Linked DNA regions of Xenopus tropicalis. Each later gene encodes a partner of the first gene's protein in a complex. Links are inferred from orthologs where the notes say so. Each region holds a gene or a part of one and is shown on either strand. Other genes may lie near its edges.

Region 1 (8,863 bases):
ATACCCCTTTTAATACAGCTCAAAACCTTGTTTGCCCTTGCAGCTGCTGCCTGGCATTGCTTGCTACAGCCAAGTTTATTATCTACAAGGACTCCAAGGTCCTTCATCATTATGAATGAATTAATGAAATTGTGATACATATTGAATGAGTTTATTTTTAACAGTAATTAATAAATGACTTAATGGTCTTAAAAACAACTTAACTGATTGTGTTATCCACTGCTAATGAATTAAGACTAAAAATGAAGTGCAGCTTTCTGTGTACTTTTTCCCTATATTAGGACAAATATTTCTGGCCCCTCACACCGCCACTTAATGTCTTTATGTATGTGAGTGCTCATAGGTAATTAACTTTTTATGTAGTTAATGCTGGAGGCTAGGAAGTTAACTTTAGGGGATGGTGCATAAGTATCTCCCATTCAGCAGTGGGTAACAAACAGGAACATAAAAAAAAAAAAATATATATATATATATAAATATTTATATTTATTTTTCTGTGCATTGTATTTGACAGTCACTTGTTAATGCGCATGCTTTGTTTTCATTGGTAGGTTTTATATATATATATATATATATATATGTATATATGTATGTATATATATAAAATTATATAATATATGGGTTTTTTTTGTTTACAAATACCTTAGTTTGTAAAGTTTGTTGTTTGCTTTTGTTTGAGGCTCTTTTTAATAAATATTTTAGGTCACTATAAAGATAATGAGAAACCTATTGTGGTCTGTCGAACAGCACAAACAAAAAAGAAGGGGTGGGAAAGTAAGCAGGATTGTAGTAAAGGGAAAGGAAAACACACATTCTGCACATATCGAACAAGTTATTGCAAAGTTATTTGGGGATATGGTAGGTGTGCAATTTGTGATTAAATGACATTTGTTAGAAAAGGATCATTTGTTTTCCTGAAGCATATTTTGTGTTTTAACTATAAATCATCTTTATAACACCCAATAGGTCTACTTATGTACTGTAAGCAACAAAGTGTCATTAATGTGTCATTAATTTATATAGAAATCCAAAAGTTTCAATTTCGTGCTGGCCAAACCATTTTAGTCGGGGCTAAAACGATTCCCCGGAGACCTAATTACACTTCGGTATATTTTTTTTAATTTTCAAGTTTCCAGTTTTATTGACATATACAAATAACAATGAAGCATCATTACCGTAGTGAAATTCTTTTGGCCCATTTTCCCCCAAACTTTACATAGACAAAAAAAAACAAAAAAAAACAAATATTTAATATAATAAAAGTGTGCAATAAAGGTACAAGTATTTACAATAAAAAATGCAATGAAGTATTTGAGATTGTGCAGTGAGGATTTAAAGAATTTAAAGTGGCATTGCTTAAAGTGACATTATGAAAAGTCCAGTCGTTATGGGGAGTGTGTGTGTTGGTGTGTGCAGAATGTCAGCAGTTCAGAAGCCTGATGGCTTGTGGGTAGAAACTGTCTCTGTATCTGCTGGTGCGGTCTGGATGCTCCTGTACCGCCTGCCTGATGGTAGGAGCATGAAAAGTCTGTGGCTGGGGTCAGAGAGGATCCGCTGCATCTTCCTCCTACAGCGCTGTCTGTACAGGTCCTGCATGGCCAGCAGTTCACTTCTGGTGATGCGCTGTGCTGATCTCACCACCCTCTGCAGAGCTTTGCGCTCCAAAGCATTACAGCTGCCATACCAGGTGGTGATACAGCCAGACAGAATACTCTCGATGGAGCATCGATAGAAGTTTGTGAGTATTCTGGAGTCCATCCCGAACCTCCTCAGGCGCCGCAGAAAGAAGAGCCGCTGTCTTGCAGCTTTTGTGATCACACCAACGTGGTGAGACCAACTCAGATCCTCACTGATATTGATGCCCAGGCATCTGAAGCAGCTGACTCTCTCCACCTCTGCTCCCTCAATATGAATGGGGGTATGGCCTCCTACCTGCAGTCTCCTGTAATCCACAGTGAGCTCCTTAGTTTTGCTGACGTTGAGCAGCAGGTTGTTGTCACGGCACCAAGATGTCAGGGCTCTCACCTCTGCCCTGTATGCCGATTCATCTCCATTAGAAATGCAGCTGATGATGGTGGTGTCGTCTGCAAATTTGATGATAGTATTGGAGCTGTGTGTTGCTGTACAGTATTGGGTGAACAGGGTGTACAGCAGGGGGCTGAGCACACATCCCTGGGGAGACCAATGCCAAGTGTCAGTTTAGATAAGGTGATGTTGCCGGTCCGAACCACCTGAGGTCTGTTTGTCAGTAAGTCCAGGATCCAGCTGCACAGGGAGGAACCGATGTTCAGGTCACGGAGTTTCATGACAAATCTGGATGGTATGGTGGTGTTGAAAGCGGAGCTATAGTCAATGAACAGCATCCACACGTATGTATTTCTTTGGTCCAGGTGGGAGAGGGCAGTGTGAAGTGCAGTTGCTATGGCATGGTCTGTAGATCTATTTGACCTGTAGGCAAACTGGAGCGGATCAAGTGAAGCAGGGAGTAAAGATGTGATGTGAGCCTTGACTATACGCTCAAAGCACTTCATGGCAATGGAGGTATATAACTTACACAAGCAGTTTATTGATTGATTTCAATAATACATTTTTATTTTAAACAAATTGAGCTTAAGGTCTGACCATAAAATTTTGTCCATAGGTAAAAAATCGTATTGCCTAAAGTTTTTTGACAGGTCCTTATCAGATAATCTGTACCAATCTGTAATATTAATAGCTGTGTGATCCATCTTGGGTCAGAGAATGACCCCCAAATCTACCATTCTCATGTTATGTGTTATTTACAGATTGGGATGGTTCAGAAGCCATGAAATTGCGAAGGAAAGGGCCAACATTTGCAGGTAAATATAAGCAAATCAGGATTCTAAAGTGTGTGGTATGAACTTTAACAAAAGGCCAAACAGCATCCAGCACTTTATCATAATGTTCCTTTATAGTACCAGAGAGCTAAACACAAAAGCTGAAATTTTGATGAGTGTACAGTAGAATTAAGTCTAAAACAACTGGACTTTTCTGAGATTCACGTTTCAGAAAAGTCCAGTTGTTTTGGACTTAATTCTACTAGATACTGTATATCATGACCTGGATGAATAAGAATCTTCATAGACATTTTGATGAGAGTACTTATAGGAAATTAATTTTTGACTTTAGTTATTTATGATAAATCTTTGTGAAGGATTATGTAGTTTTGCTTCAGAGAGATAGGAAATATTAGCAGTCAGTGCATTTTTTTTTTACTCACATTAAATATTTAATAAAAATTAAATTGTGCAGGTATGCAGAAAGCTCCTGCTGGCTTCATTTAATGTTTAAATGTTTTACAGTAAACTTTAATGTATGGTGCATAAAAAGTTCAAATTTTGTACATTTTACCAATGTATAATGTATATTATGATGTATCTCGTAGGGCCTCAGCACAAAGGGTGATTTGTCATCCGCGATTTTTAATAGTTCAAATGGAAAGTAGTTCCTGCCATGTGCCTAGCATTTAAGCAACCATCACCTGACAAGTGCTTGCACTAGTACTTTCATGCAATTGTCATAGACACTGACGAGCTATTAGGTGATGCCCCTTTAGCTACTGCATAACATTCAGAATTGACCCATGCACAATTGCCCTAAATAAAAAAATTTTCGGTCCTCCCCTCCTAGTTATGTTTGCAGTATCCTTTAGATAAGGATTATTGACCTTGCAGTTACTCTACTGTGTCTGTATCTAGGATCCCTGCCATAAAACAGGAGATTTCTGTCTATGTCATTGAGAAATCGATGCGCCTGCAATACCAGCAGTTGTTGCTTCTTTTATTTCAGTTTGTCTCCTTTTTCATTTTATACTTTTCCTCTCTGAGGTGCTGTAAAACATTGTAACTGCTTGAATTTTTGAACTGGCTGTATACATAAGCTGCATGACTTACTGACAGCACTGTGACCGTACAGAAGCACATTTTAAATGCCCTCAAGGCAGACTCACTGTTGTGTTATGTGGTCCCTTTTATGTGATTGAAAAAGCCTGGTTATGTATAGAAGCTGTAAATGGTGGGTTTAATTCTTATCCATCCTCTGGATCAGTGAATTTGTGAATTATAAATTTATATATACCAGCTCTGGTTAATCCATTTTTTTTTTCATTCATAATTTTTCCTTTACATTCATTGGAACTAATCCTGTGTTTTCTTTTTTTTCCCAGACATGGAAGTGTTGTACTGGAAGCACATAAAGGAGCGAATGACTGCACAAAGGCAGCTTCACAGGAGGATGGTAAAGGAGTGGTTATGGGGCAGATTTTTTTTCCATTTTTGTGCTGTGTAGCTGATTCTGTTATGATGTCGTAACTATATTCATCTCTACAGCTTAAGAGAGCACTATTCTGTAAAGATCCAAACTGTATCCCTAGGCTACTTTTCTTTGATCTGAAGCCAAATTCTCCTAGCCATTCCACCAAGTCATGGCTGTACGATAAAACTAGGGAATGTGATTAATAGTTACCCTGTTGCCCCATGATTTACTTTTAGTTCATGTTTGCAAGTGATTAAATATGCAAAAACAGGTTATGTAGTTACAAGTTAGTAATTATGAAGCTGCAATGCCAACTTGCCATGTTAAGGTTTACCCCATATGGGAGTCTTACTTCTGTTAAAAGACAATAGTGTAAATATGGACAGCCCCTGTCAGAAAAAATATGTTTGCAAATCACCTTTATTATTCAAAATGTGTAGTTTGAAGCTACAGACCAGGATCAACACTGTTACAATCTGCTCTCTCTAGGGGATTTCTCAGGCCACATTGAACTGGTTCTGCACATGCCTTCCCTCTCCTGTTTCATTTGCATATGAAAATCGCTGAAGTTGCCTCGCGAGGCTTTTTCGGCGATTTGCGCGAAATCGCGCCGCCGTGTGCCATCCCACCGGCGACTTGCATTTTCGCCGGTGGGATGGCAGGTGAAGGCAACTCGGGGAGATTAGTTGCCCGCGACCAGGGAGTTTTGTCGCGGGCGACTAATCTCCCGGTGTGCCAGAGCCCTTAGCTGGCAAGATTCAGCCAGTCGGATCAATGAAATGCAAATGAAGCAGGAGAGGGAAGGCATGTGCAGAACCAGTTCCCTGTAAAGTTTCTGTCTTGTACAGGTGTTGCCAATCCCTTTCTAGGAAAAAGGAGAGAGCAAAGAGAGTCTTAACAGTGCTGATACTGGTCTTTAACTTCAAAACTACACATTTTAATTAAAAAAGATAATTTGCAAAAATGTTTCTCTAACAGGGCCTCTTCAAATTCTGAACGTAAGCATTATTTGTATGATTTTATCCGGTACATGTAGAGGGCCAGCTGTCAACTTGGTTCTGTTAGTACTGTTGTTTTTTTTTCTTTTGTAACGTACACAAATTTCATGCAGGGTGCACAGTTTGTGAAAGAGGTTACTTTGTTGAATCAAGAGGAAGAGCTAGTTAATCCTTTGGAGGAGCCTCGTGATGCAGATTATTTGGATTATGATGGTCCTGCAGGTATGTATGGTTTGTAGTGATCTTTAACTGAATTATGACTTCCTTATAAAACGGAAGGTTGGAAAGGGTTTTTGGGGGGAAAAAAAAGCATTGAATCAAACTCAAACATGTAAGAGTTAATAGTAAATAACTTAAAATGCAATCTGTTTATTACATCACTGCCACCTGGTTGTTGCGCCCTTAACCCTTTTAACATGAATGATTATGACCTGCGTAGTCAGAGAGTTAGGGACTACAATGTATATCTACATTATGAATAAATTACTATTTTTATTATATTTATCTAGATGATGCTTCAGACCATGAAGATTTGGGAGAGAATATTCCAGCCTGTTTACGTGAGGAGCCTGCCCTTGGGGATATAGGTAGTACATTCTTTCTTTTTTACTGTTATGAAATATTATTGGGGCTGTAGTTCACCAGGTCTTTGTAATGTCTTATTAGGTGCCCAAATATTTTCTCTGAGATTACTCTATATCTATATTTTTAATTTTCATTTGATATGAAAGTTTAAATAGTTATATATTGGTAACTGAAGATGTGCTGTATAACTTGGAGTTACAGTATGCATAGCTCCTTTCCTGACCTTGAGTCTGTTTTGGTGTAGAGCCTGTAACTCTCCATGATCAGTTAAGTTACGAGGAGCTGGTGAGAAGAAATGTGGTGAGTACTTTCCTGTTCTTATTTCTTTGCTTAATATTTTCTCCCACTGGGCTGAAACAGTATTACAGCTATATAGGTAGGAAACGTCAAAGCAAAGGCTGCCAGTAGGCATCATACCAGGGTTCTTAGCAGAGACAGCATCAAAAACACCTGTGCTGTTTGGTATTGAAAATAATATTTTCTTTAGGTGCTTGCATTAAAATTTTAAGCTTGGAAGAGCTGAGCACATTTCCTGCGGGAGTAAACTTTTTTTTCAGCGGCACTCCAATCTGGAATTTAACCTACAAATCAGAAAATGGTTTGAATGACAGACTGAAAAATAAATAGAGGGCCTGAACAAAAAGTTAAGTATTTGAAAATAACAATCATAATAAAACTGTAACCTCATAGGACAACAGTTTTTTTTTGTTGCCGGGATCAGTGACCCTGTAAGACAAATAGCTTTTTATTCTGATAGCTGGAAAGAGGCAGAAATGGAATGCAATTATTTAAAAAACTATAAAATATGAGCGAAGCATACTAAAACTGAACGTAAAGCTAAACTAACCCTTAAGGAACACATTTCCCTCAGGTTCTGTTTGCAAAAAAGCTTTAAAGGAAGAAGGAAAGGTAAAAATGAACTAAGCTATATCAGAAGGGTCTATGTACATACAGCCATAAGCACTCACAGAACTGCTGCTCTGAGATCTCATGTATGCATGATCTTCTGTGTCAGATTTCCTGCTCTCAGAAACATCTTTCAGGGCAGGGTACAAGCCTGCTCAGTTTGCTCTTCTCTCCCCCTTCCTTCTGCTCTCAGAATTCATCATCCTTCCTTGCTCCTTATTTGCATGTCACTTTTTTTCCAGGAGCTCTTCATGGCAAATTCTCAGAAGTATGCCCAGGAAACTGTACTTTCATTGCGGGTGCGTGAGTGGGAGGATAAAATGGGCCCACAGTTACAGGAACAGGTAAGTCAGACTTTGTTATCTATATGTCACATTATGGCATTAGGTTTAGGTATCTAAATGGAAAGGTTTTTACAGCTGCAGGCCTGACAATTACAGTTTGTTCCCAGCAGCATCATACATAAAAAAAAAAAAAATCTATTATTTTCCTGTCCTCTAGGAAGAACGTGGAGCTTTTGACATTCATGATTATGGCGACCGATTAACTGCACAATTCAGTAAAGTAGGAGAATGGCGTTCATTTGCCAGTCTCATGGCAGACAAAGAACCCTATGAGGTGTGCAGATACATGCTGGCATCCCTTCAATTGGTGAGTAATAGCTTACAATAGATTTATTGATCACTATTGTATCTAAGTCATCAAGAGTTTGGTTTTGTTAAACTATTACAGCCCATTAACTGGTGTTTTTTTATTAAAATAAAAAAGGGTTGGAGAAATATGACAAAATACAATAAACATGCATTTATCTCTTGATTCTTTTACATTTCGCAAGGCATAGTGGCCCTAAATGAACCATCCTGTATGCCTGAAAATTTGTGTAGCAATTAGTGCCACCTAGAACACTTTATTCTGCAGAAAGCTTTACCATACCTGAGTAAAGAGCACTAGAAGCTCCCTCTGTTTGTATAAGATAGCAGTTGCCATTTTAGTGTCATTTAGTGCCAGTTTAGCTTCCTGTTGCAGCTCTAGCCCTTGGTAGGCCAGATCACACATTCCTAAGGGAGGGAGGAGCAGTAGAGGGGTGAGCGCTGTGCAGACTCGCCATGGGAATGATGGATTTTGAGAAAGTCTGATACCGAAGAACATGTTTACCCAAAAAGCATCTGTTTATATTTTTATCTCTAGTAAGATAGTATATGTTGTGTCCTTTATCATGCTGGGTTGATGTAGTTCTGCAATGAAATGTATTGGACAGTTTTGTCAACCTGGGTTAAACAGATAAAACCTCAGCCCTTTGATAGGCCCTAGGCACATGTTTTGTTGCATTTTGTCATACCCTATGGACTCCTTAAATTGGTCAGACTGATTTGTGGGCCACTGTAAGAGGAGAACTAATGTTTTATAAATATATGTAGTCAATCTCCTATCAAATTATTACTGGCCAGTCTTTGAAACGGTTTAATGCATTCCATGTCCAAATGAATGTATGTTTTCTTTGGCAGCCTCTTGTACATCCAGAATTTCTCCTCACTTCCTAATTTTTTGTTTTCTCTCCAGGCTAATGATTACACTGTAGAAGTTTCACAAAAACCTGGCCTACACGAAGGTTTGGATACTATGGCACTGCGCCTATTAAGTCAGCAAAAAGCACACGAGAGGTTTAAAACCTACACAGCGCCATCCATCTCTCAGCAGTGACAGACTCTTCTTAGCCTTGTGTTTGCAGTGTAAGCTGCTAAAGTACTCCTGCTATATACCGCTCAGGTGTGCACAGCCAGTGGACATTGTGTGACCCAGTCATGGTCATGTGGCTGCAGTATTCTTCAAGCACAGGGTTCTGAAAGGCACTGCAGAAAAATGCTGACCTTGGATTTGATTTTTAAGCTAGAATTTTAGTCTTCTCAGAAGTATGCCACCGTGCTGTAGTCACCAACCTGTACAGTTCCTTAATTATCATGCAAATCATGACTGTGGGTGGGGCAACTTTATTGTACAGGGCGCATATTATTTAGACTAAGCATTCTAATGTATGTATAATTACTATTATGCTCCTTTGCATTGAATGTGTTTATTGATATTCTAATTCCTGCTTTGGT
Region 2 (8,863 bases), on another chromosome or scaffold:
GTACAATAAGCAAATGACAATGGAAAGAATATACTGCAAACTATGTACATTTAAACTTAATAAAAGAATTGTTAAAGTGAATTGTTCATACAGGAAACAATAGAATGATAATTACGTTTAATAAACATAGATAATGATTATGTTCCCTGCCTTTTAACTGCTAACTGTATTAGGAGGTGCTGTTCTGCTACATGAAGCCATCCGAAGCAGTGACACATAATATCAACCAAGATACAGCATTAAGAGCCTTCAGCCTGTACTGCAGACTCAGCATCCACCTGCAACATAAGGTAAATATGAGCATTATACACTAATTATACACCAATCCATCGCTTACCTTTCAGTGGTCAGAACTGAAAAAAGTGTCCCACTTGCTTCCGACGCAACTCTTTTACAGATTGTGGTGGATAGTTGCATCTTTAGATGGATGGGGTAGGTGCAAATACAACAACTGAGCTTAAAGTTTGGCAAAATAATAGTAAGCCTTCATAGATTCATCTTGATTTGAAACCGCCGCCGGACTTGTACATCAGTGTCTTATGTTATGCGTATTTATGTAACAGTAAATAAGCCTGCGTGTGTTCCAAAATGTACTTGTACAACGTTCTGTAGAAACCCCTTTCCATCATTATGACCAGGCATTGCAAACATCTAGGGGAACTGCCAGTAAAGCAGTAAAGCTCTGTTTGTGTTTAACAGTTTAGCTCTGAAGGAAGAACATATTTGTCTTTGCTGGAAGACACAGGAGGGTGGATCGAGAGCCAAGTCCTTCCAACTCTAGAAAGTAATGGAGACCTCTCCGAGGAGTCATGTAATATGTGCCATCAGATCCTCAAGGTAATATCACTTTTCGTGTTTGAAGGTTTGGATGTGGCAGGCCACAGTGATAAATGTTTCTGTATTTATTTGATTACTGTACTTTAAAAAATGTTTCTATGATATGTTTGAGGGAGGACCAGAAAAAAATGGTGTAAAATCCGGGAAAATGTAAAAAGTAGGGAAATCTGTTATGCTTTATATGGGGCCACAAAACTGTGTAAAAAGTTATCATGTTAAAGATGGGTTGTCATCACTCTGGTACAGGGGGTACTCCAGTCAGGGGCCCCTTGGCAGGGAGAACCCAAAGAAATGCAGCAGTCCAATTTGCAGGCTATGAAGGGTGTGGGGCTTGGGGGTAAGTAGGAAGAGTCTGGGTGGAATGTGGGTGTGTTATGTGTGTAATTAGCATGGTTAGGGTTATATCTGATTCATAGCCCGGAGAACAACTTAGGCAATTGTTTTTTCTAATTTGAGCCCCATTCTATTAAGTTGGTGGGGTCCACCACTCGGGGGGTGACATGCTGCAAAAAAAAAAAAGTACCAGTAAGTTGTCAGTGTATCCTATTTCCATCCCATGGTATCTCATCGGATCTGAGCTTAGATTGGTTCAGGTTGGTTATAACAAATCTCAGAAATATGGAATTCACGAGCACAAAAACTTGAATTGCAAAAAATGATCATAAATCCAGTGGGAAAGTCAGCTTGCCTTAGCCTTAATAAACTCAAATCTCCAGTCTTGCACCTATAATATAATATAGCTGAACAAAACTGTGCAATTAAAACGCATTATGCCACACAGAAATCCTAATAGAGGTTCAGATGCCCATGGCAACTCCTTGTGACCTTGGATAAGGCCCCTAACATCTAATTCCTTTATCTGTATACAGGCCTATCTGACTGTTTGTAAAGACGTATTGATGGTTGGCCTCGCTGACTCGGAATTTCAAGCCCAGCTTCTTCAGATTACTCTTTCAGTGATACAGACTGGTAAGGGGAAAATCTCAGTGAGTAATGGAATTTTCTTGCAGTGATCCTTAATGTTAGTAAAGGGGGTGGCATTTTCAAGAGAACTGTTGTCCGCGGTTGTGCATTTTAACAGTGACAAACCGCTGCGTGTCTTTGCCCTTAGATATGGCGTACTGATGCACAGGGCAGCTATCATAGCTTGAAAGTACAGAAATCAAGAAATTAAAGGTCCATCTCTGCAATGCTGTCCCCCCAAAGCTCTTTGGCAAACCTTCTTATGCCTGATCCCTTTCCCATTTCAGTCATGCTATATAGGCCTTCATTATTTCTTTTGTTATACTGATAAAAGCCTAACAGTGAATCCATGATAGCAGAGCAATGGTTATACATCTGTTTAAAATAATGAGGACATTTAGGGCCCCCTGTCACTAAATAACATTTTGCTGGGGTTGAAAGAGTTAAAGGGTAACTACAGCTTCTCAACCAAAATTTGTTAAAGAGCCCCAGACAACACAGAAACCTTTAATATATCAATGATTGTAATCTGTATGAATAAATACCATTTTACTGTATATGCTGAAATCCAGCTGCAAAACAGTTCTTCCCTATGTGCATCATTTGAAATCCTGGCAGGGGAGAAGGGACTAAAACATTGATGTTGCAGATTGCAACAACTTTTCCATAGCTTGCAGACAGCATGCAGGAACTACATAACCCACAATGCTTTGCACTGTGATGTTTCTTTCCTTATTGACATCACGTGTGCAGGGAATTGTGGGATTGGGAGGATGCAGGCTGAAGGCAGGCTGAGGACAGGCGACTACTGTTATATTTTATTTGAGTCACAAAGTAGCCAGCCAGATCAGCAGGGGAACAGGGGGCAGGGCTTAGGGAACTGTTCAAAACCATATTATTGCATTAAAAATCATGAAAAGGCTGCATATTTTTTAATTCAGGGGTGGACAAGACGTCGATCGTGGTCCACCAGTAGATCCCCCGTGGATTTCTTGTGGACCGTGACGAAGCATCATGTACCTATGCTGTGTCTTGAAAGAAGGAGTCATCGGTCGATTGCCGATGGAAAAAGTCTGGCCACCCCTGTTTTAATTGATGTGATTTACAAAGTTGCTTGAAATCCATGTTTTCTTTTCAAAAAGTTCAAGTTGTGTTTGGGTGGAGTTCCCCTTTAACGAAACAGATTTATTGATTGTTCTTCTAAATGGAATATGCTGTTGATATGATTAAGTTTCTGTTTTTTTTCTCTTCCAGAGAAGTGCCATGATTGTTTGCCAATGCTGTTCTCTGTGCTGAAGGAAATCACAGAACTGTGTTTGGCTCACAAGATGAGCGACGCCAGCGTGGAATGCGACGAGATGCTCGATGCCATCCAGAGAGTATTCCATAAGTCTTTGGAGACTGTCGCACGCGGGCTTAGAAAACAGAGGGAAGAGGCACTACCGGTATTGATTGGCACAGTATACATCAACTGTATCAGTGACACCGTTTAGCCAGCTTATTAGTGATCTGAAATCTGTAAACAACTGCAGTGTTACAAACTCACTCCATGTCAAAGCAGCTTGCATAGAAGTTACTGGCAATGAAAGGGTTAGCAAGCGAGGCCTATCATACAAGATAGCATTTGTGTATAGCAAGTACAGCTTAAGAGAGCTAACAAGTCAGAATTAATGGCAAGGATCCAGAACGATAAGGGAGAAGATTTCTGCCCAATAGAGTTTGCAGTCTAACTGTATTCTAGATGGCATTTACACACACCAAAAGCAGATTAGAGTTTTTATTAGCTCGAATTTAATAGGCCCAATGACCTGTATGTGCTGAAATGCCCTGCAGTCCCTGGATGTGCAATTAAAGGAAAGGTGACCAAATAAACGTTGGGTGGATTTGCCCTTTTCATATTTCTGCCTGCAAACTGAAATAAAATGTAATTCTAAACAACTTTCCAATATAAATTAGACAATTTAAAGGGATACTGTCATGATTTTTATGGTGTCTCTCAATTTGGGAACATAGCAGACCAGGATTGTAGCTGATAATTATAGATAAATTATAAATACATTATAGGGAAGTTGCACGCTATTTGCATGTGAGGAAAGGGCAGTATGAAAGTCCTAAATAATGAATTTTGTAGATTGATCTCTCTGGTTCAGTAGTTTTAATGCTGTTCTTAAATCCACCCTATGGTTTTGTTCCATGTGTTTATCCTTTGCAGCTTCTGCAAGCTATTCAGCCTTCTCTAGGAGAGTTTGTTCACACAGTTCAGTGCTGGCACACCGCTTCCAAGGTGGTACATCGAGGGATGCTTTCCACGCTGTTGGCTGCAGTGGTTGTTGAAATAAGCCACTCACTGCGCAAAGTAGGTTTTATGGTACTTGCATGCCTGTTTGAACTATAACACTCCAAATCAAATATTTCCTTTATTGGCTGCAAATAGTTCTTCCTTTCTGCTTGCACATTTAGCCAATCTGCAGGAATCTAATATAATATATGTCTTCAATAGATGTCTATGGATGCTAGTGCATCACAGCAATGAGAAATTGCTTTACAGTGCAGGTTGTCAGTCCAACTAAGAATGGGATTTAAGCTAATGGCACACCTTGTGGAAGCCAGTACTTGCCCAATACTTTGTGTCCCTCCTGCTGTTTGCTGGCACGTGCTTGTCAATGCGTACACATGGCTAATTTTTTTCCAGAAATTGCATAATTTAGCATTTTCAAGCCAACATTTTTTATTCAGCGATGGACAGAGAAAAGTAAGGATCCATCAGATGTGCCCTTAGCCTTACAGGCCTAATGGTCAAGGGCTTTGCTGTCATGGAGTCTATAAATGATACTGTGCATCTGTTAGAGATTGAAATGTAACATTAAGTTATCAGAATTTTGGATGATGCACTTGTTATGATGCTGCCATATATCTGTTCGTTTGCTAATGCCAACCTTGCTACCAGTGTTTAAAGTGCTGTTGTATACAGATGGAGCATTCTTTATGTTTGCATGTCCCACCGTATCATTTATAGATTTTTATTATTCTCTTTTTCCCCTCGAAGTCAGTGTTGCGACCACTGCCCTATCTAAATCGCTACATTTTAAAACCAAGTTTGTTTCATCCATAGACACCGCATGTAGTTTGCTCCAGCCTCCAATGCATGGCTCTATTACCGTAATAGTATCTATAGCTTGGTTATAACTGCACTGATCACTTACTTTCCAATTTTCTCCCTAGATTACAGATTTAAGTGAACTAACGCCACCCACATCTATTTCTGATCTGCCTCCGCTTTCAAAATGTATAATGACAATTATCGTTAAATCTCCAAGTGCTGTAAGGTGAGTGACTTGCAGTGATTTCCTTCCTGTGCTAAAGAAAACGACTTAAAGGACGAGGAAAGGTGAAATCACTGGGGAGTGCCAAAAATTAGGCACCACCCAGTGATTGGAATCATTTCCCTGAATAGCCCTGTTAGTAGAAAACTGCCCTGGCCTGGGATTCTTCTCATCGAGCACCATGGAGCGATTTTCTTCTTCCACTTCATTTTTCTAATATTTGGCACCCCCTAAGCTTTAGTTTCTTTCACAAGCAAATTCACCTGTGATACACTAATAACCCACTGCCTTTTTATAAGCTACTTAGTAACACTCGTAACAATGTATAAGCATAAGCTCTGGCTGTGGAAGTCCCTTACATGTATGTCGCAGGAGTCAGAGACTTCTAAGTTGTACACGTTATTTAAACTAGGGCTATAGGGGGTGATCCTACAGCTTCCCTTAGAGCAGGGTACCATACTGAGAGCTCTGAAGGGAGATGTGGGTTAAGGCTGACAAATATTTGGGCATCACCGATAACATCCCAGCTGATTCACTGACACAATATATGCCCTTGAATCAAGCAGTGTTGCTAACTGTAACCCATTTTCCTGCCTTGTGTTTGCATGTTCCCCTAGAGATGAGCAAGGGTCACTTCTAACGCTGATCTGTGTGATAGGTACCTTTTGCTAATTGGCCATAAATTGCATAGTTTATACCTTGCTGCTTCATTTAAAATGTCTGTTGTATTAGTCCCCAGTGTGAATGTGAAAGGCTCCATAGTTTGCTGGAAGCCAATAGTGTTTTGGCAAACTAAAGAACTTTCAACCACTGGTCTCCTACCGGCCAATTTCCAGGTATAGCTACCTCTATTGAGCAGGTAGTTCCTAATCATCTTTTCATAAAGTTCTGTTAAAATTGGAACTGGAAAACCACATTCAGATGATCAAAAAATGGACATGGTTCTCCTTTAAAGCTTTCCTGTCAGCATTCTGTTAAGTGTAAAATCTCTTCTGATTCTTGCAAGCAACATAATAAATGTACAGCTTAGTGTGGGAGTTAATAGCTGTAATTACTGCATGTAAAGGAAACCAGGCGCCTCGCTCCAACCAGCTTGTTGGAGCAGTCATAAAGTACATTTCTGATTGCAGTATGGTTACTCAGCTCAACCAAAAGCACAGTGGGAAACTTGCTGAGCTCCCAGAACATCACAGTGATATGTTCTATCCAACCTTATTTGCACAGTGTTAGCCAAGCAATGGGTTCAGGCACGGCGCCTTCACTGCACAGCCATTATCCATCATTCACATTCGCATCTGCAGAGTGAAAGCCATCATTGGGTAACAATAATCTCTTCATAATATAAATATATATTCTTTTTATCTCCCTACACAGTTCATTCTTGGATGAATTGACAGAATGCATCACATTAGAAGAAGTAGAAGGAATACTGAGCTTGTCCGCATCTTTGTATGTTGCTGTTGTCTGCAATAAAAGTAAGGAATGCAACGTGTTCCATATTGTTTGGCTGTTAATGTTAGCAATAAATGGATCCTCCGTTGCAAGCTTTCCAGTGAGCCAACAGTTTGGGGAGAAATGGGGCTGGAGGGACTTAAAAAGTAAATGATAAATATCAGAATGGTCAGAAGTAGATACAGGAACAGAGGCTTCATTAGAGAGACTAATGAGCAGGTGGGAGTTGCTGGACAGGGGGGTTATAGAGGAATGTTGGGAAGCGCAGCTTAGGGTGCCAGAGATAGGTGGGGAGAAGGTGGTGCTACAGGGAAGTACTATGCAAGCCATTTACAGAATGTCAGGAACTAGATCAGTGATTCCCAACCAGTGGTTCGTGAACAACATGTTGCTCCCCAGCCCCTTGGATGTTGCTCCCAGGGGCCTCAAAGCAGGTGCTCATTTTTGAATTTCTGGCTTGAAGACAAGTTTTGGTTGCATAAAAACCCAGTGTAAAGCCAAACAGAGACTTCTATAGGCTGCCAGTCCACATAGGGCTTACCAAATAGCCAATTATAGCTTTTATTTGCACCCCAGGATATATTTCCATGCTTGTGTTGCTCCCCAACACTTTTTGCATTTGAATGTGGCTCTTGGGTATAAAAGCTGGGAATCCCTGATCTAGATAAACAGATAACCTCTCTCTCTCCTTTGGATTTTAAGATTATTCCTAATGGTGATTATGCTTCTTTCTTAGGGAAACAAATACCCCCTGCAGTTAAGAATACTGCATCAGCAATTTATAGGAAACTGAAGAATTTCAGTGAGGTAACCATGGACGATGCCGGAAGCATTGAAAGGTAAGTTGGAAAGCGAGAACTGGAAGCAAGTTCCCATGGCCATTAATTGGCTTTCGTTTATGAAGTAGAAGCTAGGAAGGCAGTGCTCTAGAATGCTGGAGGTTGTGTTTCTGACATTGGGTCTCTGTGATAGGTAAACCAGAATCACTTTCACTGTTCAGACAACTCCCTGGCCCAGTTCTTTCCTGCTGTTTTCAGTAAAAGTGGGCTGATTACTGAACTATGTGTGATTAGTCTGGCAGCCAGTAGGGCCACATTCAACCCATGGGCCTCCAGTCCTGGCCAAGCCTTTCTCATAGCCTGTACAGAAAGATTGGATTTATTAACAGAAGTATTCAAACACCCGGCTGCCCAGTACATCATTCTGAAACCAAAGGTTAGTATGGAGTTTGTCCTTCCTTTGCTGCTAGAACATCCTCTATTGTACTGGGAAGGTTTTCCTGTAGATATTGGAATATTGGCGGCGGGATTCTTCTGTTCAGCCACAGAATCATTAGTAATGTCGGGCATTGATGCCTAATAGGTTTTTCAGTTCATCCCACTGAGTTCTGTGTGAAACCTTGATATATTGCTTTTTTAAACCCTATAATAAATATCCCTTATTTAACCTTTTACACATATACACTTTCTTCTTTTTCAGGGCTATATATGAATCATCCATGAGGATATTAGATGAAATGCTGCATCCATCATAATGACAAAGCAAACAACTCCTACCTGTGAAACGTTGGCGAGCGAGAAAAATGTACAGATTCTTTTTATGAAGATTTTTTAAATATTTCTTAAACCTAATTATCGCTTATCTGACCTATGAACTTTTATCATGGCCCATTATCGATTTGCTTGTTTCACTATACTGTGTGTATAAAGACTTTTGGCTGCCTTCTGTACAACTGTCTTCTGCTTATATATACAAGCGAAGGTCTACCTAGAATCTTGGCCCTGGTGGGTTTCTTTGCTTCTTTATAGCCCGTGATGTAGGGCAGTATTTTGGATATAATCCGATAATTAAACTAATATACTGAAGGAATAATGCATATTCCTTAAGTAGGACGTTCATGATATTAGCAGTTAGCACCATCTCAGTGCATTGTGCCTGAGTCTGAGCTTTCAGAAGGAGCCGGCGCTACGCATTAGAACTGCTTTCGGCTAACCTATTGTTTCTCCTACTCCCATGTAACTGGAGGAGTCCCAAGCCGGACTTGGATTCCTTACTATTGAGTGCTATTCTGATACCTACTGGGGCTGCTATCTTGCTCCCTTCCCATTGTTCTGCTGATCGGCTGCTGGGGGTGAGGGGGGATATCACTTCAACTTGCAGCACAGCAGTAAAGTGTGCCTGAGTCTGAGCTTTCAGAAGGAGCCAGCGCTGCACATTAGAACTGCTTTATTATTATTAACATTTATTTATAAAGCACCAACATATTCCGCAGCGCTGTACAATAAGTG

Evidence for each region.
Region 2: the proteins of ncaph2 (region 1) and ncapg2 are in contact, whole or in part, in a cryo-EM structure (PDB 9F5W), measured with the Homo sapiens proteins. The link is inferred for Xenopus tropicalis from reciprocal best matches to the Homo sapiens genes NCAPH2 and NCAPG2. Residues at the interface, in NP_689512.2 of Homo sapiens: Pro316, Trp317, Gln318, Ser319, Leu320, Pro322, Phe323, Asp324, Ser325, Leu326, Glu327, Ser328, Lys329, Pro330, Phe331, Lys332, Lys333, Gly334, Arg335, Pro336, Tyr337, Ser338, Val339, Glu344, Gln360, Asp361, Phe362, Gln364, Trp365, Tyr366; in NP_001268861.1 of Homo sapiens: Lys248, Leu251, Gln252, His292, Ile294, His295, Leu296, Pro297, Arg299, Ser300, Val302, Lys340, Ala341, Arg342, Asn343, Ser344, Glu345, Val346, Pro388, Tyr389, Pro390, Arg393, Gly425, Glu426, Ala428, Phe429, Asp430, Thr431, Ser432, Arg437.

What each region holds. Positions count from the first base shown.
Region 1 is NC_030679.2:89,422,577-89,431,439, forward strand, and holds part of ncaph2 (condensin-2 complex subunit H2), read left to right. Parts: intron 1-2,786; coding exon 2,787-2,840; intron 2,841-4,186; coding exon 4,187-4,257; intron 4,258-5,386; coding exon 5,387-5,495; intron 5,496-5,782; coding exon 5,783-5,860; intron 5,861-6,102; coding exon 6,103-6,158; intron 6,159-7,006; coding exon 7,007-7,108; intron 7,109-7,265; coding exon 7,266-7,415; intron 7,416-8,324; coding exon 8,325-8,465; 3' UTR 8,466-8,863. UniProt on the Homo sapiens protein: Regulatory subunit of the condensin-2 complex, a complex that seems to provide chromosomes with an additional level of organization and rigidity and in establishing mitotic chromosome architecture.
Region 2 is NC_030682.2:18,470,267-18,479,129, reverse strand, and holds the end of ncapg2 (condensin-2 complex subunit G2), read left to right. Parts: intron 1-173; coding exon 174-290; intron 291-699; coding exon 700-837; intron 838-1,706; coding exon 1,707-1,806; intron 1,807-3,054; coding exon 3,055-3,245; intron 3,246-4,012; coding exon 4,013-4,156; intron 4,157-5,022; coding exon 5,023-5,126; intron 5,127-6,497; coding exon 6,498-6,598; intron 6,599-7,311; coding exon 7,312-7,414; intron 7,415-8,054; coding exon 8,055-8,109; 3' UTR 8,110-8,304; downstream 8,305-8,863. UniProt on the Homo sapiens protein: Regulatory subunit of the condensin-2 complex, a complex which establishes mitotic chromosome architecture and is involved in physical rigidity of the chromatid axis.